7 linked regions of the Canis lupus familiaris genome follow. The protein of the gene in region 5 purifies or fractionates together with the protein of the main gene of each other region. This does not show direct contact. Links are inferred from orthologs where the notes say so. Each region holds a gene or a part of one and is shown on either strand. Other genes may lie near its edges.

The links.
Region 1: the proteins of WDR77 (region 5) and SNRPB purify together in Homo sapiens (affinity purification with mass spectrometry; 4 studies listed by BioGRID and IntAct, with this or other methods). This does not show direct contact. The link is inferred for Canis lupus familiaris from reciprocal best matches to the Homo sapiens genes WDR77 and SNRPB.
Region 2: the proteins of WDR77 (region 5) and CTDP1 fractionate together in Homo sapiens (co-fractionation; 3 studies listed by BioGRID and IntAct, with this or other methods). This does not show direct contact. The link is inferred for Canis lupus familiaris from reciprocal best matches to the Homo sapiens genes WDR77 and CTDP1.
Region 3: the proteins of WDR77 (region 5) and COPRS purify together in Homo sapiens (affinity purification with mass spectrometry; 3 studies listed by BioGRID and IntAct, with this or other methods). This does not show direct contact. The link is inferred for Canis lupus familiaris from reciprocal best matches to the Homo sapiens genes WDR77 and COPRS.
Region 4: the proteins of WDR77 (region 5) and RIOK1 purify together in Homo sapiens (affinity purification with mass spectrometry; 5 studies listed by BioGRID and IntAct, with this or other methods). This does not show direct contact. The link is inferred for Canis lupus familiaris from reciprocal best matches to the Homo sapiens genes WDR77 and RIOK1.
Region 6: the proteins of WDR77 (region 5) and SIRT7 purify together in Homo sapiens (affinity purification with mass spectrometry; 3 studies listed by BioGRID, with this or other methods). This does not show direct contact. The link is inferred for Canis lupus familiaris from reciprocal best matches to the Homo sapiens genes WDR77 and SIRT7.
Region 7: the proteins of WDR77 (region 5) and GAR1 purify together in Homo sapiens (affinity purification with mass spectrometry; 3 studies listed by BioGRID and IntAct, with this or other methods). This does not show direct contact. The link is inferred for Canis lupus familiaris from reciprocal best matches to the Homo sapiens genes WDR77 and GAR1.

The regions. Positions count from the first base shown.
Region 1 is NC_049245.1:19,125,571-19,129,798, forward strand, and holds the start of SNRPB (small nuclear ribonucleoprotein-associated proteins B and B'), read left to right. Parts: upstream 1-1,428; 5' UTR 1,429-1,583; coding exon 1,584-1,586; intron 1,587-4,010; coding exon 4,011-4,162; intron 4,163-4,228. UniProt on the Homo sapiens protein: Plays a role in pre-mRNA splicing as a core component of the spliceosomal U1, U2, U4 and U5 small nuclear ribonucleoproteins (snRNPs), the building blocks of the spliceosome.
Region 2 is NC_049222.1:901,734-905,233, forward strand, and holds part of CTDP1 (RNA polymerase II subunit A C-terminal domain phosphatase), read right to left. Parts: intron 3,324-3,500; coding exon 3,240-3,323; intron 2,615-3,239; coding exon 2,521-2,614; intron 818-2,520; coding exon 689-817; intron 1-688. UniProt on the Homo sapiens protein: Processively dephosphorylates 'Ser-2' and 'Ser-5' of the heptad repeats YSPTSPS in the C-terminal domain of the largest RNA polymerase II subunit. This promotes the activity of RNA polymerase II.
Region 3 is NC_049230.1:41,069,588-41,073,635, forward strand, and holds the start of COPRS (coordinator of PRMT5 and differentiation stimulator), read left to right. Parts: upstream 1-1,248; 5' UTR 1,249-1,351; coding exon 1,352-1,426; intron 1,427-3,477; coding exon 3,478-3,544; intron 3,545-4,048. UniProt on the Homo sapiens protein: Histone-binding protein required for histone H4 methyltransferase activity of PRMT5.
Region 4 is NC_049256.1:8,659,621-8,663,120, reverse strand, and holds part of RIOK1 (serine/threonine-protein kinase RIO1), read right to left. Parts: intron 3,441-3,500; coding exon 3,348-3,440; intron 2,465-3,347; coding exon 2,352-2,464; intron 2,251-2,351; coding exon 2,170-2,250; intron 836-2,169; coding exon 749-835; intron 353-748; coding exon 215-352; intron 1-214. UniProt on the Homo sapiens protein: Involved in the final steps of cytoplasmic maturation of the 40S ribosomal subunit. Involved in processing of 18S-E pre-rRNA to the mature 18S rRNA. Required for the recycling of NOB1 and PNO1 from the late 40S precursor.
Region 5 is NC_049227.1:41,099,300-41,102,349, reverse strand, and holds part of WDR77 (methylosome protein 50), read right to left. Parts: intron 867-3,050; coding exon 796-866; intron 670-795; coding exon 615-669; intron 128-614; coding exon 56-127; intron 1-55. UniProt on the Homo sapiens protein: Non-catalytic component of the methylosome complex, composed of PRMT5, WDR77 and CLNS1A, which modifies specific arginines to dimethylarginines in several spliceosomal Sm proteins and histones.
Region 6 is NC_049230.1:1,199,738-1,203,723, reverse strand, and holds the start of SIRT7 (NAD-dependent protein deacetylase sirtuin-7), read right to left. Parts: upstream 2,801-3,986; 5' UTR 2,776-2,800; coding exon 2,683-2,775; intron 2,610-2,682; coding exon 2,472-2,609; intron 2,392-2,471; coding exon 2,287-2,391; intron 290-2,286; coding exon 219-289; intron 111-218; coding exon 38-110; intron 1-37. UniProt on the Homo sapiens protein: NAD-dependent protein-lysine deacylase that can act both as a deacetylase or deacylase (desuccinylase, depropionylase, deglutarylase and dedecanoylase), depending on the context. Specifically mediates deacetylation of histone H3 at 'Lys-18' (H3K18Ac).
Region 7 is NC_049253.1:9,901,444-9,905,539, forward strand, and holds the start of GAR1 (H/ACA ribonucleoprotein complex subunit 1), read right to left. Parts: upstream 2,801-4,096; 5' UTR 2,601-2,800; intron 1-2,600. Other genes in the region: CFI (complement factor I), read left to right, coding at 3,727-3,783. UniProt on the Homo sapiens protein: Required for ribosome biogenesis and telomere maintenance. Part of the H/ACA small nucleolar ribonucleoprotein (H/ACA snoRNP) complex, which catalyzes pseudouridylation of rRNA.

The sequences.
Region 1 (4,228 bases), on a different chromosome or scaffold from region 5:
TCAGTGGTCTGTTCATGTCCTCTGGATCCAGGGACCCTTTAACCACACTCCCACTGCAGTCTTCCAGATTCCAGGGTCAGGTCCTTTAACTGTCCCCCAACTGTTCTCTAGCCCCCAAATTACTGCTTTAGGCTTCTTAGCTATTACCTGTGTCAATTCATAGGTCTAAAGACCCCTAAACACAGCCCTGATACCATGCCCCCTCAGCCCTTCATCCCTGGAGTCCAACCTTGCTAGTGACACCCCCCATCATCCCTCGAAGACAACCTAGCTGTACACCTGCCCTAGTTTGTCAGCAATGGGATTCCTAGCATAATCTTTTCCCCAGTGGAAATGGAATATAATACCATGCTATGCTGTTTTTATTTTCTCCCAATATGCATGATATATCTGTTTGCTGCAGCCCTTCAGGTGCAGACACTATGCAGTATATGCTTTGTGTCAATGTCACCCTGGCTCCCCATGCACATCCAAGTCCCTCGGTGACCCTGCTCCCATCTTTGGCTTGCCTGATGACTGTAGACCAGCTCTGGCCCATGCAAATCTTAAAAAAATAAAAAAAGAAGATTTTATTTATTCATGAGAGAGAGAGAGAGAGAGAGAGAGAGGAAGGGGCAGAGACATAGGCAGAGGGAAAAGCAGGTTCCCTGCGGGGATCGTGATGCGGGACTCGATCCCAGGATCCCAGGATCATGACCTAAGCCAAAGGCAGATGCTCAACCAGTCAGCCACCCAGGCGTCCCTCACCATGTTATATTTAGTATATTAGACCTCCAGGTCAAGCAGGTGGCTGGAGATTTTGGCCACGAGTTAAATAAAGCACCCAGGGTTAGAGGAATAAATCTGAAATTCCTGAGCATTTAGGTAGTATTCACAAGTCATAGGACTGGATGGGATTGGTTGATTGACTCATTTGTTCATGGAAATATGTTTAGAGCTAGGCATTGCGGTAACGAAAAATACACAAAGGAAAATCTATACCCTCAGAACTTGCATCCTAATGGGGAGGAATAACAACAGAAACACGGTATATTAGGGATCACCATTAAGGAGGAAGATAAAGCAGGTAAGGGCGGGAAGGCTGCAGTTTAAATAAGGATGGCCAGGGAAGTCCTCAGTGGGAAAATGTTACTTGAGCTGAAGTCCTGAAGGATGTTCGGGCAGGAGTCGTGCAGGTACCTGGACGACTAGCATTGCAAAGGTGCTAAGGCAGGAGCTCGTCCAGCAAGTTCACAGAAAAGGACAGGCCAGGGAAGAGCGGTGGGACCTGGAGACCCAGAGGTAATGGGGAGGGGCGTGCGGGCAGCTCCGGAACCGATTGAAGCTAGGGAGGTGACCTAACATCCCGGGAAATGTTGTTTGACGTTAGCCCCGCCCCAAACTCCCGCGGGCGTCTAGGCTCCCAGGTCGGCGTTTTGGCCGGAACTCAAGAGCCGACGCCGGGCCGGAAGTAGTTTTTACCCGACCCCATTTTATCCGCGGCCGCACTTCCGGTAGCGGCGGCGGGAAGCGGTGTAGTAGCGGGCGTCTAGGCCTCTGCTGAGGGCAATCCGGCGGGAATCGGAGCCATCAGAACCGCCACCATGGTGAGGACGGGCAGGCCGGCTGCGCGGGAACTTCCGAGTCTGTCGTGGAGTGGGCACCGCGGCCGGTCGGGAGGAGGTCGTGGGTTGGGGGCTCATGGCGGCGAAGGCCCGGGCCGCAGCCGCCGCGTCTGGGCGGGGGAGACTCGGACCGTGGCCTTTGGACGGGTTGGGGGAAGGGAGGGCTGGGGCCGAGGGACGGAGGCCGGGGCCGCTAGGTGGTGGCGAGGATGGGCCCGCGGCTGTCCACGCCGCTGTAGCCACGGTGCTTGGGATCCTGCAGGCACGAAGTAAACTTTTGCGCAATAAATGCGCGTTTGGGGTTTCGGAGCAGACATAAGAGCCTCAGGAGGACTCGTGAAACGGGGTGAGGGTCTGAGGGGGACTTGCGGAAAGCGGGGAGGACTTCTGGCCGAAACTAGAGAGCGTGCTTGGGTCTAGCAGATGGGAGGAGGGAATGGGAGGGAAACCGAAGATGGAGGAAGGGTTCAACTCCTTTGTGGGGCAGGTCTGTGTGAGCGTGTCTGGCTTCTCAGGCACTGGGGCTACTCCACTCCTTTCGCTTTCTAGTTGCGGACGCAGGTAATATGATCCAGAGTGGTAATTAAGCGCTGCGTAAAAGTAACGGGGCGGGGGGGGGGGCGGGATAAGAACGTTTTCCTGGAGTAGATGGTTCCTGAGCAGAGTCCTAACAGGTTGTTACAGGAGTCTCCCCAGCCTCGATGGAAGGGAGTATTGTAGATTGGGAGGGCTCCAAGAGCAGGGCGTGAAGGGCCGCACTGTTGAGGGTTCCTGGAGGGGTCGAGGGGGAAGGGATGGAAGAAGAGATGGGAGGAATTGGCAGGAACCTGGCTACTAAAGGCTTTCCATGCTGCCTGATCCCGTTGGTGATGAGGGATGCCGTGGAAGGATGTAGCCAGCGAAATGACGTGGACGCAGTTGTGTTTAGAAAGAGCGCTCTGTTCTGTGGCTGTTGCGTGTTGGGTGAACCGAAAGCCGGGGATTGTTTGTAGGATTGGTTTGGAAGAGTAGGCACTGGATTCAGTCTGTCTAGGTTCCAGACCAGCTTCCTGGCTGTGAGACGGGGCAAGCTACTTAACCTCTCCTGACCTCAGTGGCTGCATCTGTAAAATAGGAATAATAATTAGCCTGGTTTTTAGAATTAAATGAGATATTTAGAGACTGCTGGGTGGCTCAGTAGTTAAACATCTGCCTTGGGCCCAAGGTGTGATCCTGGAGACCCGGGATTTAGTCCCACATCAGGCTCCTTGCATGGAGCCTGCTTCTCCCTCTGCCTGTGTCTCTGCCTTTCTGTGTCTCTCATGAATAAATAAATAAAATGTTTAAAAAAATAAAAGATATTTAGTGCTTGTCACAGTGCCTGGTACGCAGTGAACGACCAGGAAGACTTACCTATTATAAGGTGGACAGACCAGTAAATGTTGCCATAAGGCTTCAGATCTGTGTGGCTAGAATCTAGAGGGCAGATTTAAATGGGGACACTGGACTCAAGTTAACCAGCTTGTAGCTGGTTAACAGTCATTTGAGGGAGAGTGAGCCACATAACTTGTGTCTCTAGGCAAGGCTCTGATCCACACATTGGTGGGTTGAAAAACCTGTTCTTGTCCAAGCTTACAGAGATGAACAGCAAGCACAGTAACTGGCAAGAAGACGACACTTGGAAGGCTGATACACAAATCAAATGCCAGGTTATTTCTAGAGAGGTATAACTGCCAAAGGCACCTGGCAATTTGCGTTGTGAGTTCTATTTAGTCTGTCTTTTACCAAAGCTACCTTGGAAGCCAGGCTACAAACCAGAAAAGGTTGTTGGATTGATAAAGAAGTTTAAAGACCATTATGTGTTCAAACTGATGAGCACCCTGGCCACCAGAAAGTTTCCCTCCCAAAGACAGTTTTGGAGGCACATTAACATTTTTCGTTTAGGGATTCCATTTGCCTTGCCTCCAAGCTCATCAGCTCCTTTCTGATAATAGATTCTTGCTGATTGGATCCTTAGTGCCAATCATTCCAGCTGTTTTACTCGGTCCTTTAACTGGGCTGTGGGTGTTCCACAGCACTGGAGTCACACACCTGTAACCTGCATAGTGGCAGATGGCTAATCTGGTATGGGGGGATTGGATTAGTTTGGAGATACCTTACTCCTCACCCCTGAAACTGACACAGCAGACACACAGGCAATTGTGATATGAAAAAGACTGATTTTAAGGGAGAGTAAGAGAGTTGTGGGCAGAGGTCTGGGCTGAACACTGGGTGTGGGAGAATTCCCCGGGAAAGGAAGACAGAGCTGAGAAGTTGTTGAGAGAGATAGCCATGTGGAAAAGTAGGCCAGAGCTGGTTTTTAGGAAGGACCAGGGATATATAGGTTCAAAAGAGCTTGACTCTGATCCTGCTGATTTCTCCTTGCAGACTGTGGGCAAGAGCAGCAAGATGCTGCAGCACATCGACTATAGGATGAGGTGCATCCTACAAGACGGCCGGATCTTCATTGGCACCTTCAAGGCTTTTGACAAGCATATGAATTTGATTCTCTGTGACTGTGATGAGTTCAGGAAAATCAAGTGAGAAGTGGGCTGCATGGGGGTGGGATTTAAATTGTGAGGGAAATGGACTGGGTGGGTGGGCCA
Region 2 (3,500 bases), on a different chromosome or scaffold from region 5:
GGGCCTGGCCTTGGCACTCTCCTCAGAGGCCTTCCTACAGGCTCTGCCATAGTTAAGAACCGCTAACCGCAGATGCTGACAACCTGACCTCTGACACAGTCTACGCATCGATGGCCCAACAGCTAAGAATTCTACAAACCGAGGGCTCCCGTGTTGGCAAGGCCTCATTAGTCCATGACAGGATCGGCCAGTCCAGCCTTCAGAGAGCCATGTGTCAATGGGCACTATTACATGCCTCCTGAAGGTGCCTGAAGAAATCTGGCTTCTCAGGGTCCATGTCATACAAAGAGGTGGGACGTGGCAACAGTTTTAACTGAGATAAGGGTCCATTCTCGACCCTTTACTTTTCTCTGAAAACTTCATTTCCCTGGAGAACCCCAGCCTTCATTTGCCCTCTCTTGAGTCCAGATCCAGGACCCACCTGTACCCCTACCCTCAATGCTTCAGAGATTCCTAGAGGTTCCTAATGCCAGCTCCTTGTCCCCACCCAGACTGTGTCTCCTTGGCTGCCAACACCACTGCCTGCCGCTGGGCCTCAAGGCTTCCAGGTCCTGAACCCTAAAGGGAGCCAGGAGGCGAGAGCATGCTTTGATGCCTCCCAGTGAGACCCAGCTTGGGGAAACCACCCCAGACACATGGGCCTTGGGCTCCGGCCCCTCCTCACCAGCCCAGCCCAGGAAGCGCTCACTTTGTTCGACATCTGCTGGCAGTGCTGCTCGGTCGTGTGGATCAGCGTCTGGTCCAAGTCCACCATGAGCACCAGCTTTCTGTTTCGATGTAGACGCTGCTGGTCTTCCCTTCCCAGCTGCTCAGCTTGCTGAAGTTAAAATAAAAAGGAAGATTCTGACGTGAGTATATCTGGACCCAAAACCAAATCCAATTTTGTTCGTCAAACAAACGCAGTTGAGGTGTTGGCCACTGCCCTCCGCACCACGCCAGCAGCCCCACCGCGCTCACACAGCACAGGGAGCCACACGGCCTGCTCCATGGCCACCCAAGCTGCTTCTGTTTGGTCCCAACTACTGAAGACATGATTTGTGATCTAATTCTATAACGTAACATGTTAACTCATGAAAAAGGAGATGAAAAGAAAGCTGTGTCCATAAAGGTTTGATGGGATGCCACGAGCTGTAAAATGGAGGGAGGAGGGCAGCCAACTGAGGAGCAACAGGCAGGTGGCAGGGGTGTGGCACACCTCTCGCCATGCTTGGAGGCACCACCCCCCGTGGGACAGACCCAGGGGGTTCCTGGAGATGGCGGGCACGCAGTGGCGTCTGGGGCCAGCGCGGGGCCAGCACAGAGCCTCCTCCGGGAAGGGGCCTTGGGCTGCGCATTGCTTATGCCTCCTTGGCTCAGTTCCTATTTTTATAGACAAACCCCTGGTCCTGATCAGCCAGCCATAGGACTGCAACGTCCAGCCCTGGGAGGGCTGTGCACACAGGCCAGCGATAATCTGTCATGGCAGCAACAATGGGGGACACTTTCTTCTCTTTTTATCTGACTTCTCAGTTCTGTCTGTCTCACTCACTCACACGGTTTTTTAATTTTTAAAAATTTTTAAAAAGATTTATGATAGACATAGAGAAAGAGAGAGAGAGGCAGAGACACAGGAGGAAGGAGAAGCAGGCTCCATGCAGGAAGCCCGATGCGGGACTCGATCCCGGGACTCCAGGATTGCACCCTGGGCCAAAGGCAGGCGTTAAACCGATCAGCCACCCAGGGATCCCCCATACACTCTTAAATACTTACATTTGGCTTAAAATTCAGGAAAGCCAGAATCCTGTATCTGACATGTCTTTCCCACAAAAAATAGAGCCGGTATGTATCATTCAAGAGCACAAATCTGGTAAAACTAACGCTGAAACTGTCTCACCCACTTACAATAACAGGTGCTTGCCCTGCCTCCCCATCACAGGAGAAGCTCCGTCCTCACACCCCTCCCTCACCCGGCCCCTGAATACAAGGTGTCAGGATGCCTCTGACCAGCACTGCCCACGAGACCCTGGACACGGGGGAGAAGTAAACAGGGTTCCAAGTACATACATCTGCCCCACCCCAGAGAAGCACTGCCCTGCCAAGCCTTTCCATGAGGATGCGCACAGCGCATGTCTTTTCCTTCTACACCACGTCCACTCCGCCAGCACTGCCTGCTGCAAGTACTTCTCACCACCTGCTACTGCCTGCCCCCCACCCTAACACTCTTCTTCACACGGCAGCATGCACAATGCCTTCCCGTCCATCAGCCTCCCGTTCTGCGCCAGGGAGACCACACGGCCACAACACCCCTTGGGGCCGGCACCTCCCTAGTGGGCAGAACCCTTTGGCAAAGATAGAAACTGCAGGTGGGCCACCCAGTGCACACAGACCACCTGTCTCAGCAGTGGCTATCCCAGAAACCATCACAGCGACAGACCTGGTACCTTCCTCAGTCAGCCTCTGTGTAGTGAGAGGCCCACGGATGCTCCTTGCTATTCCCAGGAAATGTTCTGACACTTAGCTTCTGCCAGAGGCAGGACTTACCTCAGAGCTCACCATCAGCTCCGGGACGCTGTGCACCATGGACACAGTGGCTGTGGACAGAGGGACCTGCTGCTGCCCGTTCTTACTCTGCAGCCTGCGGGCAGGAGAAGGCACACGGAGATGAACACACTGAAGAACTATACCCAGAACGCACACAGGACGTCGAGGGCACGATTTTAATTGACACGCAGGGGAAGTTCACGGCCAGCACAGTGCAGTTTCATTCTGCCCACAGCTGCTGAAACGGCTGACGTCTGAGAACAGATGGGAAAGTTCTCACAGACATCTCCTGGAAATGAACTGTGATGGCCGCACTGAAACAGAGGCCCCAAAACATGAAAGCCCCCAAAACAGGACAGTCCATGCTGCTCAGCAAGTCTACCGAGGGTGACCGCCTGCCACAGGTGGAAAAGGAGCCCAGGAACGAGGTGGGGGGACCTGAAGGGGACCCGGGAGCAGTGAGGCGTGGGCTGATCACAGATGTGCCGTTTGCCTGGCTGAAAGGAGAGCAAACCGACCACACGGGGGTGAGTATCAGACCTCTCCAGTGCCTTCGGAACTTAGGGAAACAAAACCAGAAAGAACACCTCCCTGGGAGATGGACCTAAGTCGCCAGATAAGGAGGGTGCCATCAGAGGTGGAGGCTCCTGGAACCCGTAGGTCACCCCATCTCAAATGCCCAGAGGCCCCGCCCTCCAGCCCGAGGGGCCAGTACTTACTGGGTTAGGTCCTGGCCGCACTCAGCACACAGGCCTTTCATGACAACCGGGTGGCTACATCCTTCCAACCGTACCAGAACCGCCCTAGAATAGAGATGAAAATGGTCCCATATTAGGGAAGGAGAGAAGTACAACCCCTGGATTCCACATAACCCCAGGGGGCATATAGACCTCCAGGTCCCACATTGGTTCTCCCAGTGACTTCTAGCTCCCTCCTGGCAGGTGGCACTGCCCAGCAGGGCCCTGCCCCTGGCTGTGAAG
Region 3 (4,048 bases), on a different chromosome or scaffold from region 5:
TACAAGTGTAGCTCCCATCTGTCACCATATAAGTCCACTACAGTAGCATTGGTTATATTCCCTATACTGTACCTTTTACCCCATGACTTATTCCATGATTAGAAGATTGTGTCTCTCACTCCCCTTCACTGTACCTTTTACCTCATGACTTATTATTCCATGATTAGAAGATTGTGTCTCTCACTCCCCTTCACCTGTTTTGCCCATCCCTTCCACACTCCCATTATACTAATTTTTTAAAAATATCTTTTATGGTTTTTTATTTTTTGAAGGTTTTATGAGAGAGAGAATGGGCAGAGGGAGTGGGAGAAGCAGACTTCCTGCTGAGCAGGGACCCCAATGCCAGACTCAATCCCAGGACCCTGGGATCATGACCTGAACTGAAGGCAGATGTTTAACGAACTGAGCCACCTAGGTGCCCTCTTTTATGATTTATAAACACATTCTTCAAGGGAGATGAAGTAAGCTGTCTAATATCCCCAAAGATTGTCATAAGGTGGCCTAGTGAGCAGGAATCCCAGCTTCTAGCTTTTCTTCTACTTCATTGTTAAAATGATTATTACACCCTAAGTAGGTTTGTTATTAACAGTTTAGGCAGTATGGGAAAGGCAGGGAAAGCTGACTTTAGAGTTGAGTTTATCTCCAGCTCCTGCCCTGGCCGCCTGCTGTTCCCCTGGGGCTGCAGAGGGCCAGTTGTTGACAAGCATCAAAAAACAGGAGCCCAGGCCAGGCTACCGTGGCAGCTCAATGTTTAGGGTCAGTGTGACTCATATGGTGTCTGCACATTGTTTTCATCATCTGTCCTGGTTTCTGATGCATTAACTTTAAGAACTATCATTAACTTAGGATGGAGGATCACTGGGCACATCCATTTGTGGGTGGCCCAATTCTAGCCTGAGTTCTACAAGCACCTGTGACGAAAAGAGTGCAATGTGGTTGGAGCTCAATTTAACTTTTGAGAGCTGAGCTTCGGAGACTGTCAGGTAGGCTCCGGTAACTGAATATTCTAACAGGAATCCGAGGTTTGAGGGCTGAAGCACATCCAGCCTGGTGCGGCAGACAGAGATAACAGCTGGCGCTGCAGACCCAGCTAGTCGCCAGCCCTGGGATATGCACCGGCAGGACCGACAAAAATCCGATCCCGGGACCCGTAGGTGAGGGGCTTGGGCTGCCGCCGGCCCCGCCCCTCCCGCCCCGCCCCCGGCTTCCTCGTGACCCGTGCCCCGCCCCCCTCGGCCGGGAGCACCCCCGGCTGATTGGCCCCTCCGCGGCGTATGCTCCGGCTGGCAGCCAGGCGGGCGCGTCACGTGGCCGAGCAGCGTCCAGGGCGCCGAGCCGCGGGCCGCCAGGCATGGACCGTCAGGCCGCCGGAGCCCGGGCGCTGGGGGCCGCCGAGCCGCCTCGGGGGGCGCCCCCCAGCCCGGGGGTGAGCGCGGCCGCCACCTGCGGCCCGGGGCGGGAAGTTGCGGGGCTCGCGGGCCAGGCCGGGCGGGCCGTGCCGGGCGGGGCGGGGCGGGCGGGGGCCGCGGGGCCAGGGGAGCGCCGTTTGGGCGCGCGCTCGCGCTGGAAACTGCCGGGCCGCGGGCCCGAGAGCGTGGGTGGGCGAGCGCGGCGGGCTGGCGGTGCCGCGGCGCCTCTGCGCGCTTGCTGGATGGGAGGTGATGCTGACCGCCCGGGCCGGGGGCCCTGGGCGGGGCGGGGCGGGGCGGGGGGTGGGGGGGCTGGGCCGCGGCCAGGTGAGGGACCTGTGACCACGGGTGGCTACGCACAGCGCGCCCTGGGCACCGCATGAGGTCTCCTGCGCTCTCCTTTTCTGTTTACTGAAACCAAAGGCCCAGCTTGACGCAGGGTTTCCAAAAACTTGTTTTCATTTGCGCGCCAGACAGCTTCTGGTTTTTCAAAGACCGTTTTTACCGTCCTCACCTGTCTGTCCTTGTTTACGGTCAGTAAGTTCTGGATGGTGAGCTCCGCGAGGGGAGGAACCCTCTGTTGAGTGCTGTAAACCCGGCGCCTGGCGTAGTACCGAGAGACACAGCTCCTAAATCTGAGGGAGGAATGGAATGCTGGTTTAAGCATCAAAGAGGGTACTAAACCGGAGTAAGATATGAAAAATGTAGTGATAGGTATAAAATTACTTTGGAATGCAGATGGGATGAGACTTCAGGACGTACAGGAAGGGATGTACGCTTCTCTCCAAGGGGACAGGGTGGTGGTGCCTGCAGAGGCCTGGAGGTGAGGAGGTACAGGGCAGATGGCTGGGAGCTGGGGTCATAGAGCCTCAGAGCCAGGGGAGAGAACGATGCTCCACAGGTTGATAGGTGGTGATGGGGAAGTGTGAATGCCATGGCCAATGTTATGCTCCTCTGTGGAGGGCTGTTGAAAATTTTTGAGCAGAGTGATGATTAATCCTGTTAAGGTTGGGCAGGGTGGGTGAATGGGAGGACAAGTGGCTATGGCAGTGGTGCACGTGAGGGAGCCTATCAGCTGACCTGCAGTAGTCCGGAGGGTTGTCATTCAACCATTCCCAAGGTGGAATTTATTCATTAAATCTAAGGATGACTAGGTCATGAGCCAACTGAGGCCGGTGCCAAGTGCAGTTTAGGTGTGAGGGCAAAGAAAGGGGGTTTCAGTTCAACTAATGTTACATTCCTGTTATGTCCGTGGTGTTTTCAGAAGTGTTCTCTCCATTGTAAGCTCCTTGCAAGGTCAGAATAGTCCTCTCCAGTGTCCAGAGAAGGAAGCCCAGGCATGGTGGTTGAAGCAAGCTATCCAAGGTCACACTCTGAATGAATGGCAGAGCCTGAATTGAAACCAGGTCTTCTTAGGCAGGCTGTGAACATTTCTTGTTCCTTTTACAAAATGGTCTTTAAGTGATGAGAGCAGAGAAGCATATGGTTGGCTGTAGAAGAAGATTTCCCTTGAGCATTACTTAGGAAGTACAGCTACATGTTGCCCCTATGTATCAGGAGACAGAATTTGGTAGGAAGTTAGAGGGAATGAGGTTGAAATGATTAAAATTTACAGGCTCAGAGGAGAAGAGATTCACAGAGCTGGAATCCCAACTTCTCAGGAAGAGGTGCTGCCTGCAGCTACTGCTGGGGTCTCAGAGCTTGGAGGAGGGGTCCTGAGGGCCTAGGATGGAGACCCCTGAAGAGAGGGCCCAGTGATGAAGTTGGCTCTGCCAATGTTGGCAAACTAAACTGGATCGAGCAGCTGCTATAGGAAGGTACTGCTGATGCTGCCAGGGATGAAGTGTCGCTGGGGTGGTATCTGCAGGAATAGGAAGGAGAGAGGCCCTTCTACCTCCAGCCTTGATGCATCTAATACGGCAAAACAGAAATAGGGATTGCAGAGTCCCAGCCCCACCCTCAGAAAGGTGAGGATGGAAGAGTGGGGTTTGAGGCCATGAAACGGTAGCTTAATACTGGGGGTACCCCACACATCCAAGTCCTGGGTAACTGTTTCTTCTTCCTGCAGGCCAGCTTTGCCCCTGCTGACTGCTCTGGGCAGGAGAGAGAGACTGAGAAGACCATGGATCGGCTAGGCAAGTAGATGGTGGAGAAGGAGGTGAATGTGGGGAGAGACCAAGGAAGCGATGAGAGGGATCATCCCTATGTCTTGTTGACCTCTTTCCAGCCAGTTTTCTTTGCTGCTGAGTTGCCTTTTCTTCCTTCCTGCCTTCCTTCCTTCCTTCCTTCCTTCCTTCCTTCCTTCCTTCCTTCCTTATTTTGTTTATTCGTTGATGAGAGACACTCAGAGAGACGTAGGCAGAGAGAGAAGCAGGCTCCGTGCAGGGAGCCCGATGTGGGACTCAATCCCGGGACTCTGGGATCATGCTCTGAGCCAAAGGCAGGCGCTTAACCACTGAGCCACCCAGGCGTCCCTGAGTTGTGTTTTCTGCTTAGTGTTTCCACAGTGCCCTCATTTGGAAGTCCTGTTGGAGCTTTCTTTAGTGAAGTCCTGCCCCTGTGTCCAAATCCATCCCTTCTACTGAGAAAAGACAGCTTAGGGCAGTGGCAGGAGTATATAGGCTTTGAAGCCTGGCCAT
Region 4 (3,500 bases), on a different chromosome or scaffold from region 5:
CAATTTCCCAAGTACTATCACTCTATTAATGATCAGCTGGTCAATTCTGTGACGAAGGCCACTACAGGTAGAGAACACATAGCTATCCTATGACCATGTGGAAGCCAACTTTAAAACTTTAGAATTTAAAAATGACTTCTTGGGTTGAGATTTCATTTTTTTAAAGGACACGAAACGCCATACCGGAAGTTCCTCGGGGACCAAACACACTCACAGCATGTTAAATTCACTGAGATCTGCATGGACAAGTCTGGCATCCTGATACATTCTTCTCATGTACTGGATGACCTGCAGATACAACTCCCGAGCCTTGGATTCTGATAACTGGACGTTTTTCAACAGTGGCGCTGGCCTTCAATACAAATAAAATAAACTAAGAGAAAATGCCCAGAACAAGTTTTCTTGGTTTATAATACATTGCTACATGGACTTTTTGACAAATCATCACTAAAAAATCTGGGTCACTACAGATGTACCAATGCAAAAAATTGTCAAGAAACAGGTGTTCTCCCAGCTTACTGTATAAAACATCCCTCAAAACTAGGGTGAACTTTGTTATTTTGAAACATTTTGGGACCTAAAGTAGAATAAATGAGCAGCTCTGTGCATGATAGTGGAAAAGATTCACAAAAAACCTTCCAAGCTGAAAGGAGCTATTTAAATGGGAAATGGTCATAACACTGGATAATCCAAAGCACTTAAAGACACACTTCTGAGCATGTAATTATTAGGCATTCCATGTACTCACATGTCGTCTTTACCAATGAAGCCCATGACAAGAACATGACTTCTCAGCAGGATAGGCTCTGGGCATGGGATCTGTGCTGTGTTTAGTCTGTAGTATTCAATCAGATAAAAGGACAAATGAAAAGGTGACACAGAATCTCCAGCAAATTAAATGGCTACAGAACACAAGATCAGTATCACTGTAAGGTAACAGCACCAACACATCTCAACTGTATTACTGTATTTCATCAACTTTAAGGCCCAACATATCTCAACTGCATTACTGTATTTCATCAACTCTAAGGCCCAGTGATTTTAAGTGGTACCATGATGCACAACCAAGAATGACACAACACTGGCAATTTAACTACATCTCACAGCCTCTCATGTGGGGCACTTGGGTGGCTCAGTCAGTTAAGCATCTGCCTTCAGCTCAGGTCATGATGTCAGGACTTGTGGGATCCAGCCCCAAGTTGGTCTCCCTGCTTAGCAGGGAGCTTGTGTGCGCTCTCTCTCTGAATAAATGAAACCTTAAAAAAAAATTATTGCCTCTAGTGCTCAGCCCAATTCCAGAGATGTCCAACTTGCAATGTGCATCTCAGAACTGATGAAATGCAGCAGATATGTCCTCTGAGTTGATTAGACTCAACAATGAGTAATCAAACAGTTGGGTCTCAGGACTCCTGACTGGCTCAGTTGGTAGAGCACATGACTCTTGACCTTGGGGTTGTGAGTTCGAGTCCCACACAGGGTGTAGAGTTTACTTACAAAATAAAAACCAGTTGGATTCATACCTGATAGCTAAGTGAACATAGGAAGATTTCAGAAGACTTTCAAAACAAGTACTTAATACTAAAATATCCAACATATGTCACCAATGCACAGCATATAAAAAATTAAAAGGTATTTGAAAAAGGGAGGAAAAGAATACCTTCAAATTTTTGAGAAAACTTGATCTCAACTAGGTTAGTTGCCCTCACCTAATATCGAAGTGTCAGCACAAAGAATATATAAATATGTCCAAAATTGGACTGAAGAAAAGGAAACTATGATAATAGTATAGGACCTAACAAAACTATCTAAAACTCTAATGCCTATAAAAAATGACACGTGAGCCTCAAAACCTGATTGTCATTTCCCTGTTTAAAATCTTGCAATAGCCTCCTATCATCCTCAGTATAAATTTTAAATGCTTTCACACACCTTCCAAGGTGCTTCAAATGATCCAGCCTTGCTGGATGTGAATGTGAATTTTTCTGTAATGGGTTCTCAAAAGAGAGAAGATCAGGTTTTTATTTGTTGCTTCTGCTTACCTCAGCAGATCTAACAGACATGAACATCACTACAAGTCTCCACCTTTGGACAGAATCTACTGGGAGCCAGCAGGAAGGAGCAAGGGCCAGTATCTTGAGCACAGCACAGACACATGCCCCAGAGAGTTACCTGATTAAGTTCCTCATTTCTTTTTCTGCCCAAGTTTTCACCATTTTCCTGGGGTTTCCTTTACAATAGCCATGACGAAATCTGGAACAAGAAAAATATTTGTTATTCCAAACATTCCATTATTCCAGTTTTTATTTTAGGAAACAGAAATTAGGCCAACTGGAAAAAGAATCTGAGCTCACCTGAATTCCCCACTTACATACTTATCCCGATCTTTGAACACCAAAATAGAAGTTTTGTAAATTTTGATTGCTCTGCTCTCTCCATTTGCTGTGCTAGCATGGTACACATTAGCCTATTTTGTGTCAAAAAGAAATGAACTTTGTGTTAAATAACTACAAACAGTATTTTAATTTTCACTCTATTTGATTCTATCCTCAAAAGTTTAAAAAATTCAAGTGAACTGAAGCGACATGCATTAAGCAATACCATCATCATCCGAATATGCCAATTACAAAACGTCATACCAAAAGGTATAGTAAGTAGAGCTCTAATTTACACATATAGTAAGATCCACTTTACAGACAAGAAATGGTTTCGAACAGTTTCCTCTCTCAAGTGTGTGAAAAATATTTCAAGACATTCTTATTTCATCATTTATAAACTGAGTTTTACTGAGAACTGCTTCCCATAGAAAGAGTTGCTAATTTAAAAATGCCATGGGGGGGGGTGACTGGGTGACAGGCACTGAGGGGGGCACTTGACGGGATGAGCACTGGGTGTTATTCCATGTGTTGGCAAATTGAACACCAATAAAAAATAAATTTATTATTAAAAAAATAAAAATAACGCCATCTGTATCCACATACAAAGAAAAAATGGTAAAGAGATTCATTTACTCAGAGAACCTAGATTAATCCCCTGTGCCCATTAGTAACTATGTGATAAGCACTCAAGCCTGCAGTAATCTGACCATCTATGCTTACTGTGAGCATTACCTGCACTCAGTGAACCAGGATAGTAACAGTGGTGAAAACGTATAGTTCTGTGTACAACCTCCTGCCTACGCATAAATATTAATAAAGCTGTTTTTAGAAATACTAAACTATTCTGACTTGTGTATTTTTTTCCTTTTTCTTTTAAAGGCACCATGTATTTATTAAGTGCCTTAGTTTCATTTAGTAGCTGAAGTAAGAAAACTAACATGAAAACATTCAGGCATCCAAAGAAAAGCTCACTTCTTTTCCTGTGCTAATGCAGCCATTTATTTCTGATATGATTCCTCTAGTTAACATCTTGAATAATATCATTCGTGTTCTAGGATCCAACACCTATAAAAAGCAAAAAACCAGAAAGTTTAGTAAGACAGTACCAAATATTTCTTTTCTTCT
Region 5 (3,050 bases):
TGCTCTCATCCTCCCCCTTCCCAGAATCAAAACGCTGTGTGACAGGCCGCCTTACCAAAAACAAAGACTTCACTCTGCTGAGGATGCCAAGCCAGGGAGGTAGGAAGGTAGCCAGAGGCAGTGCAGCCTGCAAAGAGAGAAGAGGGATCTGAAACAAGACTTAGAGCCCAGCTCTGGGAAGGAGCTTCTCAAACAAAATTCACTCCAAATCCCAGAATCACCTTAATTTGCCTTCTCAAACCCTGCTAGCTAAGGCAGTTGTGTCCTTGCCCTCAATCTTCATACCTTCATTTATCCTTCAGCCTCTCCTGTCCTTTCTGGACACTAGTCACAGGCAGGTTTCAGGTATAAAACATGAAGGCAACAATTCTGGCCCCTTTATCTACCCATCCCAGAAACGTAAAGTATATCAGCCACCCACGAACCAACCCATCATCTTGGTACCCACTGCACACAATGGAATCAACAGCTTCAATGGGAAAGAGAGTGAGTGATTATGTCTCTTATGCCACAATGACTGAGCATTTGGTGACCTTGCCTTTGTCTCTGGCCCAGGAAGCCTCTTCCAGGTGGGTTCCTACTACCACCCTCCCACCACCGGCTCTCAGACTCACCCATCTGTGATGCTGGCTTGGGACAGCGGGTATCCCAGAGTAAAATTCTGTTGTCCTAGAAGAAGGAACAGGAAAAGAGCTTCACAATCCAAAAAGCAGCTGCGGGCCTCCACACTAGACTTGTGGCCAGAGGGTTCGAGTGTGGTTAGAAGTGAGGAGGGAAGGAAAGGCTGTATCTCACCTCACTGCATGAAAGGAACACGGAATCCTTGTGGGGAGAGGCTGCGACACAGGTGACCTGCCCAGAGTGAGCTGTGAAGGAGAGAGAGGCAAGCATGACAGAAAAGCTGCAGGCATCACTACCAAGCAGCCCAGATACCACCAAGGGACCCCTTATTTCATGAATGCAATCTAACACATTTTGTGAGAGATTTTGGATCAGACAAAACCTAAGAGAAAATGTTGATGGAGTTCTAAAGCTAAAAAGGCATGGGGAAGCCAATGAATTAGTAAAGACAAAGGAAGAAAGATCAGGGGCTGGGCAACAAGAGTGAAGGAATTTACATCCCAGAATAGCAATTTTCAGATTTTAGTACACACACCTCCAGACAACATAGAGAAACTTTCAAGGGAGGTCTGGACACTGACACATTTAGAGAAATAAACTTTCCCAAAGTTCTGTTTCCTAAAACTGAACTGAGAAGTTTCCAGTCTGCCAGTGCCCCTTTCCTTCCTCCTCTTTTACATTCCCCTCCTCCCAGTTTTAGAAGAGACACGCACTTCTCAGCCACCCCACATCTCACCACGGTACAATGCCCAGGTGCCTGAAACCCTAAGGTATTAAACAAAAGGGGCTTTTCCCTGAGAGCCAAAGAGCATCTCGGCAAAATTCAGTGCAGGAGCTGGCCCTGTCTCAGCTACCACAAACCACAACACACCACGAGCAACTAGAGTATTCTGGGACTCTATTTCTGCCTAACAATGAAAATTTTGAGAACTATGACAGATAATGTCCCGAGGACACATCTGACAAATTTAACTGAACTTAAAAATGAAGTCAGACCTTTTCTGATAGAAAGTTGAGTCTAGGGGCTCCTGGGTGGCTCAGTGGTTGAGCGTCGGCCTTTGGCTCAGGGTGTGATCCTGGGGACCCAGGATTGAGTCTGTCGGGCTCCCTGCATGGAGCCTGCTTCTCCCTCTGCCTATGTCTCTGCCTCTCTGTGTCTCTCATGAATAAAGAAATAAAATCTTAAAAAAAAAATCACTGTAAAAATCAAAACCAAACTGACGTGTTACTCAAAGCTATGGTTGCACACCGGCACCATCAGTATCATTTGGGAGCTTCTTAGGAAATAGTCTCAGGACCACCCCAGAGTTGCACTCGGGTAATCCTTTGGTACATTAAAGTTTGAGATGCGGGAATTCCTGGATGGCTCAGCGGTTTGGTGCCTGCCTTCGGCCCAGGACGTGATCCCAGAGTCCCGGGATCGAGTCCCACATCAGGCTCCCTGCATGGAACCTGCTTCTCCCTCTCCCTGTATCTCTGCTTCTCTGCCTCTCTCTCGTGAATAAACAAAATCTTAAAAAAAGGAAAAGAAAAAAAGAAGGTTGAGTCTAATTTGGCCAGCTGGCCTAACAAAGCAGGTTGGTTTTTAGCCAGTTAGGTTATTTGATAGACATTTGGCAGAGGTTACAGGGACTTAAACTGCAAATCCAAAATCTTGACCAACACGTGCTTGAAACCAGTGCACAATAAATGATATGGCCAGAAAGTACCTCCTTTGCAACTATTTAAATTTAAATTAGATGCCAATTTAAAAATGTGTGAGAGGATAGTTTTTCAAAAAATTTTCAGGAGGGCTACATGCTAAAAACTTTAAAGATCACTGCCCTACGATGCATACAGGCTGTGGAAACCACCTACTCTGAAGGCATTTACCAGGCTACTGGAGATAGTCTGAATATGGCTCTGCCCAAGACAGGAGGATGTAATCCAACCACCTTTCATAGTTCTTCCCTAGCCCTTGAATCCATAAAAAGCCAACACAATGAAAAAAAATTGACCACTCACTTGAAAGCAAAGTTCAGAGACAAGCACCATGGGAAAATACAAAAGATAAAAAGTGGTTCCTCTGCCCTCAAGGGATGTGCAATTCAGTGGGGGGAGTAAGACAGAAATACAAAGAACTGATGAAATACTATGAATGGAAAAAGTGCTGAAGGAGTTAGTGCAGACCAGGAAAATCCCTCATAGACCTAAAAAACAAAAGGCATCAGTGTTTTAACATTGACTATTTATAAATCTTGGACTCCCACTAGAGTCTAAGATTTATAAATAGTGAAGGTCCAGGATATGTAGGAGTTTCTAGTTTTTTGCTTTGGCACATATATGAATCATACACTTTGCAATTAGAATTGGCAGGGAATGGCACTTAGCTATTGAGTGAACCAGGTAACTACCTGGCATCTATATCTCTTAACCACACACATATTAAT
Region 6 (3,986 bases), on a different chromosome or scaffold from region 5:
TGTACTGGGGACCCAGCTAGCCACCTCGGGTTCTTACCAGCTTTTGCTCATGTAAGCGGGCGATGCTCATGTGGGTGAGGGTCGGCTCAGCCTCACTCAGGTCAGCGGCACTGCCGGGTAGAAGGGAGCACAGGGGTGGGAAGCTGTGAGGTCAGGCCCACGCTGCCTTGGCTGGACCGTGTGCGAAGGCTGTGTGAGGGCTGCGCTAGGCCGCTTACCTGATGCTCCTCCCTTTCTGGAGCAGCGTCCACACTCCATTGGGGCCCCGGTAATCTGGGATGGAGGCTGCCTGCACGTCCACAAAGAACATAAACCCGGTGACAATGCATCACTGTAGGAACTGGCACAATTTGCAAGAGTGAAAAGCAAACGTTCCTCTTCACGTGGTGTTCCAGGCTTGTCCTCGCACTAGGCTCTATCCATTCTGGAGGCTCAGCACTTCCTACCATAACCTGCCTGCACCCAGACAGAGGGGCTCCTTCCCTCTGCCCACACCTCTGCTCCCACCTGGTCTAGCTCATCCCTCCAGGTCTCAAGGATCCTGCCGACTCTGGGAACCTCTCCAGCACTGGGAATAGCCCAGGCTATGTAGCCACACCCGTCCTCTAAACCGAGGCAGAGGACTGGCCAGGCTCATCTGTGGGTCCCCAGGGCCCGGCCAGTGCTCCGGGAAGGTTTAGCAAATAGTGAAACCTCAGGTCAGAGCACTCAACTGTCCTAATTCTTGTATCCTGGTAGTGTTTGCTGTCTTCCCTTCACAAAGATAGCCAATCTCTCCACACAAGATAAGCACCACTGAACTTCTCTAGTTCTCGATCCAGCAAAACAAAACCATCATGAGAGAAGACAGTAGGCCAGGATCAAGGACTCCTGTGTTCCCCAGGCTGTGAGTGACCTGCCTTCTGGGGAGCCCTGTCTCCCTCCTGCAGCTGAAGCTTGGAAAAATGCCCATCCTGAAGAGCGTGGTTCTGAATGACACTGAAGAGAAACCTCAATCAGTAATGCTCAACTACAGAGCAGCACACGGCTGTCCGTAACCCTGTGCAGCACCCCCACAAATGACAGGAACGCACACGTCACTGGAGGCAGGAGACCCCACTACCAGGGCTCCAGGGTCTGCAAGTCAGGGTGCTCAGTGCTCCTTACACATTCTTGTTTTGGAGGCTCTTACTCTCACCCTTGCCCGTAAAACCTTACTCAACCTTCAAGGCCTGGCTTCAATGCTGTATCGCACAGAAAGCCAACCAGATGGATTTCGCTGCTGAAGCCATGAGGGGGTGGGATGGGGAGGTGGCTGTCTGCGTTTCCACTCTAGCAACCTAGCACAACCAGCTTTGCCTTAGCTGTCTGCTTACACGCCATATTCTCATCGCCTGCGGGCATCTTGAGGCTGGAAATCCTCAGGCTCCCCTGTGCTGGGCCTACACTGCATCACACTCAACATGCACCCGCTAAGTAGACAATGACACTCTCAAAGCTACCCATGTTCTGTGGCCCGAGACAGCTTCCCAATAAAACCTGCCCAAACCCCACGCATTTCTCTCCTTCCCCTGGTGTACTCTCGTTCGTCCTGCCTTGCTTCCTAGTGACTTTCAACACGTAGAAAATCCGGTGAATGGGGAACCTGGAGCAAGTTCTGGGCTTAACTCTGCCCACCTAACCTTGGGCTAGTGATGAACCACCTTGACTTTAAGTGAGGAGCTGCCCGCAGGCACTGAGGTTTCAGTCCCTCTTACGCCTCCTTCCTTTCTTGTGTCTAAACGGGCATCGCAAAAACTGCATACGTTGATAAATGCTTATCTCCCCAGTGAAGTTTGAAGTGGAATCATTTCAAGCCTCTCTGGGAAACCACATGGGTAGGGGGCGCTTGGTGGCCACCCAAGGTCCTGATCTCCGGGTGGTGGGGCCCTGCGCTGGGGGGGGGGGGGGGCAGTCTGTCCGAGAGTCTCTCTCCCTCTGCCCTGTGCACGTTCTCTCAAATAGATAAGTAAGACTTTAAAAAATGACGAGAGAAAACAGTGGGGTGCCTGGCGGCGTCAGTCGGAAGAGCGTGAAGCTCTAGATCTGAGTCCTGCGTCCCAGCCCCACACTGGGTGTAGAAATTGCTTTTAAAAATGGACCAAGCAACGGCTTGGAGACAGCACAGCAGAGCTGCTCTGCGCGAAGGTGCGTTTCCTGCGGTCAGGGCCGGCGCGCAGAGGGCTCTGCCGGGTCCTGGGGCCCGTCACCCGGCAGGGGGCGCCCCGCCCCGCGCGGGCGGCCGGACCCTGGAAAGGGCCGCCTCACCGTGCTGATCCCCGCGCCGGTGTAGACCACCAGGTACTTGGCGTTGCGCACGGCGCCGGCCAGCTCGCGGACCTTCCTGCGCAGCTCCTCCGGGTCGTCGCACACCTGCCGAGACGCCGAGGCCGGTCGTAAGCCCCGCCCCGCCCCGCCCCGCCCCGCCGGCCCCGGGCGCGCCGCGGACTCGCCTCCTCCTGCCGCCGCTTCAGGCCCTCGCGCCGCCTGCTCCGGCCCTGCAGCTCGGTCACCAGGTCCTCGCTCTCCGCCAGGAGCCGGCCCTCCTCGGCGCTGCGCTCGGCCACCGCCTTCCTCAGGATGCGCGACACCTGCGGGCGCGGGGCGGGCGGTGAGGGCGGCGCGGGCCGGGGGCGCGGCGCGGGGCGGGCGGCGGCGGCGTACCTGGCGGAGGCGCTCCCGCTGCTGCTCCTCCCGCAGCCTCCGGACCCGCTCCGCCGCCTTGCGCTCCGAGCGGCTGGGACCCCCGGCTGCCATCGCTCCCGGGAGGCCCGCGCTTCCGCTTCCGCCTCCCGGCAGGCCGCGCACCGCGCATGCGCGCCAGGCGCCCCGCCCTTCCGGCCCCGCCCACGCCGCGCGCAAAGGAGGCACCTGACGGTCTCTTTAAAAGGTGTTTATTGGTCATATACAAAATAAAGAAAACCTTATATATCACAAACATACACTATGTACAGCAATAAATACCCGGGGTCCGGCCCAGTGCCGCCCCCCCCTGGACAATAATTTAGCAATAAATACTGCACAGGGCAGGCGGGGCGCTGCGCCGCGGCCCAGGGAGGCCCCTCCTCGCCTGGATCTTCAACGGCCCGGGAGCCCCGGCAGCCCCCGGACCCCCGCCCCTGCTTCCAGCCCTCGGCGACTCCCTGCACCCAGCCCCTCAGCGCCAGGGCGGCCCCGGGGCCGGGCACCGGGCTAAACGGCGGCGCCACCCACTCCCGTTTGGTTAAAGGCTTCAGGGAGCAGCAGGGTGCGGGGTGCGGGGTGCGGGGGAGGGAGGGCCGGCCCCTCGAAGCTCCCCGGCACGCTCCCCTCCTGCTCGGGCTGCCCAGGCACCACGCACCAAGGCTGCTGCCCCAGCGCGGGGTGGAGACCCGGTGACTGGCCCACGGGGACAGCACATGCTCAAAACACACAGGCCTGCAGGAGGACAGGCCACAGCCCTGCCTCGTGTGCCCTCCACGTCTCCCCGCCTGCTCCAAAACTAGACGGCCAACAGGAAGGCAAAAACGCGCCAAAACGAATTATTCAGTGGCTTCTGGGGGGGGGGGGGGATCGTTACCGTGTTGGTTCCTTTCACCAAACCACAGCCTAAAAAAGCAACTTACAAGATCCCAGAGCGGAAGCGGTGCTGCAGGCTGTGGCTTGGGCTGCCCAGTGGTGGATGGGAGCTTGAGCCAACTGGCCACCTCAGAGAGGGGAGGCGACAGGGACAGGAGGGGGCTTGACCACCTGTCCCAAAGCAGGCCGCAGCCAATCAGAGCTGTGGGCTCACGCGCTGACCACAGAGGCTGCTGTTGACCATCAGCGGTGTGCACAAAGACCTGGAGCAAGAGCAGAAAAGCCTCCAGGGGAGACCTGGCATCCGGCAGAAACCAGAGCACCACACGGCTGAGCAGCCACATCTCCTCACCTGGACAAACAGCAGTGCCACCCAGAGCAGCAAGCCAGGGCCATGGGGAGGTCTCCCT
Region 7 (4,096 bases), on a different chromosome or scaffold from region 5:
TAGTGTTTCACCATTGTACATGGTATTTACTGTTGGTTTCTATCCTTTATGATATTAATGATATTTGTTCTTTTTCCAGATTGCTCACTTTTTAAAAATTAAGAATTTATGTTAAACTCATATTAAACACCTTTTCCATATTTTATGATGTAATTATACATATTATCTTATTTAATCTATTTTAATTAATTAAAAAATTTAATATACTGAATTGTATAAATAGATATCCTAATGTTGAACATCCTTGTAAATTTCTAAAATGCTCCCCACTTGGTCATTATATTGTTTTTAATATGCTGTGATTTGTAATGTATACTTTGCTAATATTTTATTTAGGGTCATTACATAGAAATGAATGATTAATTATAATTATTAAAGATTTATTTCAAAGGCCCATCTTACCATTTTTTGAGTATTGCTAATAAATTGGAGTGCTTGGGGCAGCCCAGGTGGCTCAGCGGTTTAGCGCGACCTTCAGCCCAGGGTGTGACCCTGGGGGCCCGGGATCCAGTCCCATGTTGGGCTCCCTGTAGGGAGCCTGCTTCTCCCTATGCCTGTGTCTCTGCACGCCCCCCACCCCTCGCTCTGTGTCTCTCATGAATAAATAAATAAACAAATCTTAAAAAAAATAAATTGGAGTGCTTTTCATCTTTTTCTGTGTTCTAGAAAAGTTTAAATAACAGAAGAATGATCTTTCTTAAAAGGATTAGTAAAATAAAATCTTTAAAAAAAAAATAGGGGCTCTTGTCTGGCTTAGTCAGTAGAGTATGTGACTCTTGATCTTGGGGTTGTAAATTCAAACCCCACGTTGGGTGTAGATATTACTTAAAATCTTTTTAAAAAGAAAGAGTTAGTAAAAGTGTCGTTAGGGGTTAAAATCTTTAACTTTCTATTTTTTCTTAGCTATTAATTTATTTGAATTTTCTACCTCTCCTTGCATAAATTATTCTGATCATTTTATTTTCCTTGAAATTTTCATCTGGATCTTCAGATTATTTGATAAATTGCACATACTTTTATTACTTAGGGTTCTAAGTGACAAGCTACCAAACCAACTCTGAATAACTTTAGCAAAAGAAAATTCATTTGGCAGATAATAGGATGTTCAGACTATTGACAGAAGGCTAAGAAGTTAGGCTTAAGAACTGAGGATGGTCAGGAAGGTGAAAAGGAATCACAGGAAACTTGTCTTATAACTAACAGCTAAATTGTCTGACTGGTGCACTGCTGCTGCTGCTGTTTCAATATATAATTCCCAATTGGTACTTCTGTTCTCTTATCACTTAATTCAAGATTCAGACATGAAGAAAAAAGACTCTGATTAGTCTCTGCTCTAAAAGGGAATGGAAAGAGGCTGGATATGGATTTCTTAACTTGTTTTGAAAAGCAGGTGCTGGGAATTATTCTCCCACCCAAACAACCCATAATAGAAGAGCAATAATTCCACAAAGAGAATTGGGAACCTATTATGAAGGAAAATGGATGTTGGCAGCCCCCCTAAAAATTGCCACTTCAACAGCTTTCCTCTAAAATATTTAACCCTCTCTCTTTTTTAATTTCTCAAAATCATTCATTGGTTTATATATCAAATTTGCTACTTTTTTACTTTCTGGTTTCTTTACTATTGCTTATGTCTTTATTATTTCCTTTTTATCACTTGATTCATTTTATTCTTTTAATGCTATCCTGAGTTGTATGCTTTTATTGTTGTAAAAAATTTATAGTTTGGATATTTTTGCTGTTGTTTTCTATTCATTCTAATCACCCCTTTGCTTTAAAATTGTTTCAGTTGAATTTCTTTTAGAGATAAGAACCTTGATGCTAGTTTTAGCAATATTATAAAGTGTATCAATAAGAATTTTGTCAGTGAAACCTAAACAATTGTAAGTATTTTAAACAGGAAAGAAGATCAGAAACAGTTCTTGTTCACATGGGATAAGCAACAATATACATTACAGTTTTTCCATAGATCTTATCTCCCATCTTCTGTCATAATAAAGTCTGAAGAGATTTGGATCATCTGGATTTCCTGTAAAGCATCACACTGTTCCATTACATTGATGGTTTTACCTTGATGAGAGCAGGTAAGCAAGAGGTGGCTAGCCTGCTAAATGCCTTAAAAAGATACATATACTCCAGGAGACAAGGCTTGGCACATCAATAAAATTTTTAGGAAGCCAGTGCTTAGAAAACTGCCAGGATATCTTCTCTAAACTAAAAGACAAATTATTTATCTTGAACTGCCTTCACAAAGAAGGAAGGCTCCAGGAAGTTTGTGAGTCATGACATTAGGTAAGCAACTGAGGCTGGCAGATGTGGAAGCTCAGGGTAAAAGGAATCTAGAATGGATAGAAAAAAGGCAGAGGATGGATGAGCATCACCTGCAGCCTCAAGAGCAACTACAAGGGCCAGGGCCATCATTTTTTCTTACCACCTCCCTCTTCTAAATTTTCCCTCAGGAAGAAAAGCCTACCGTAGTTTTGAAGGAGCCACTCTTGGAGCATATATGAAAGGTAGACCTAAGAGGTGCAAATGGTGCACTCTAAAAATGGGAAGATGAGTTTCCCAAATTCCACTTCATGGAAGGGTTTGCTACCTACCTGTGAAAAGTGTGATGAGGAGACATTTCTTCTGATGACAACTAAATGTCAGATCCTTCCGAGTCTGCCTCAGCTGCAGAGAATGGCCTCACCTAAGGGGATGCCTTTCCTGGACAATACACACCAGGTGACTGAGCAAGGCAGGATTTAACAGTCTAACCACTCCTGCCTGACCCAGAGACACTGTGACAGGCCACACTCACTCCAGAGCTCCCCATGAGTTAACCAGGGCTTTGTTGAACCTGCATTGCAGTCTCACTTTTCTCTCTGCTCACTCCTGCTTAACCTCACTTCCTTTCACTGGAGTTAATTTCTAACTTGTAGCCCCAACTCTGTCTCATGTCTGCTTCAGGAAAACCCTAACATTTATTTCACAAATAAAAATGAATCCTGCACTACACTCGGTGCTGGGGCAATAAAACTTATTTTTTAAAGTTTTCTATGCTGGGGTACCTGGGTAGCCCAGTCAGTTAAGCATCTGCCCTCACCTTGGGGAACCTATGGTCTCAGGGTACTGGAATCAAGCCCCACATTGGGCGCCCTGCTCATCTGCTTCTCCTTCTCTCTCGTCTCCTCCCCGCTGCTCATACTTTGTCTCCCTCTCTCTCAAATAAATAAATCGTTTTTTAAAAAAGTTTTCTATGCTCAGACAATATAATTTGATCACAGCATAATGGAGCATGGTAAAGGAAATGTTTTGTTCAGGATATTTACTGTATTCTTCATAGCCTTCAACATGATATACTTTTACTTACCTCCTCATCCTCAAACTTAAGGGAAAACACTCTAATTTTATTTTGCCAAAAACACAAGCAATTTTCGTTCCATGTAGTTTCTGTCTTCTCTAAAAAAGCAAAATTGAAGGGCTATTAACAAACTGTGGAAATTGTTTTCCTCTGGAGGAAACATGCTCCCTATTGGTCACCTCACTCAGCTATTTACTGGGAAGGCCTTTTTTGGTTTCAGTTACGGTAAAACTCTGGATTTTAGCCAAATTCTCTGAGTTCAAAAGTGCAAAGCTCTTTAGGAGACTTGCTCTTTCTAAATATTTTTTCAAAGGTTAAAAATTAAATTTCAAAAGAATATCCAGGGTGGAGAAGAGAGACAGACCCTGAAAGTTTCCAATATGAAGCTTGTTCATGTTATTTTGTTACATTTGTGCTTCTGCCTAAGTTTTTGCAAGGTAAGTAACTCAATATTTAGCCTATTTTAAGTAGATGTTTTTAATATTATAAGAATGTAAGAAAAATCTTAAGACATGGGTGAAGGGAGGGTAAAATAAAATAATATGAAATCAGACAGGGAGACAAGCCATAAGAGACCCTTAATCATAGGAAACAAACTGAAGGTTGCAGGAGGGGAGATGGATGGGAGGATGGGGTAACTGGGTAATGGGCATTAAGGAGGGCATGTGTCATAAAAAGCACTGGGTGTTATATGCAACTGATGAATCACTGACCTCTACCTCTGAAACTAATAATACACTATATGTTAAT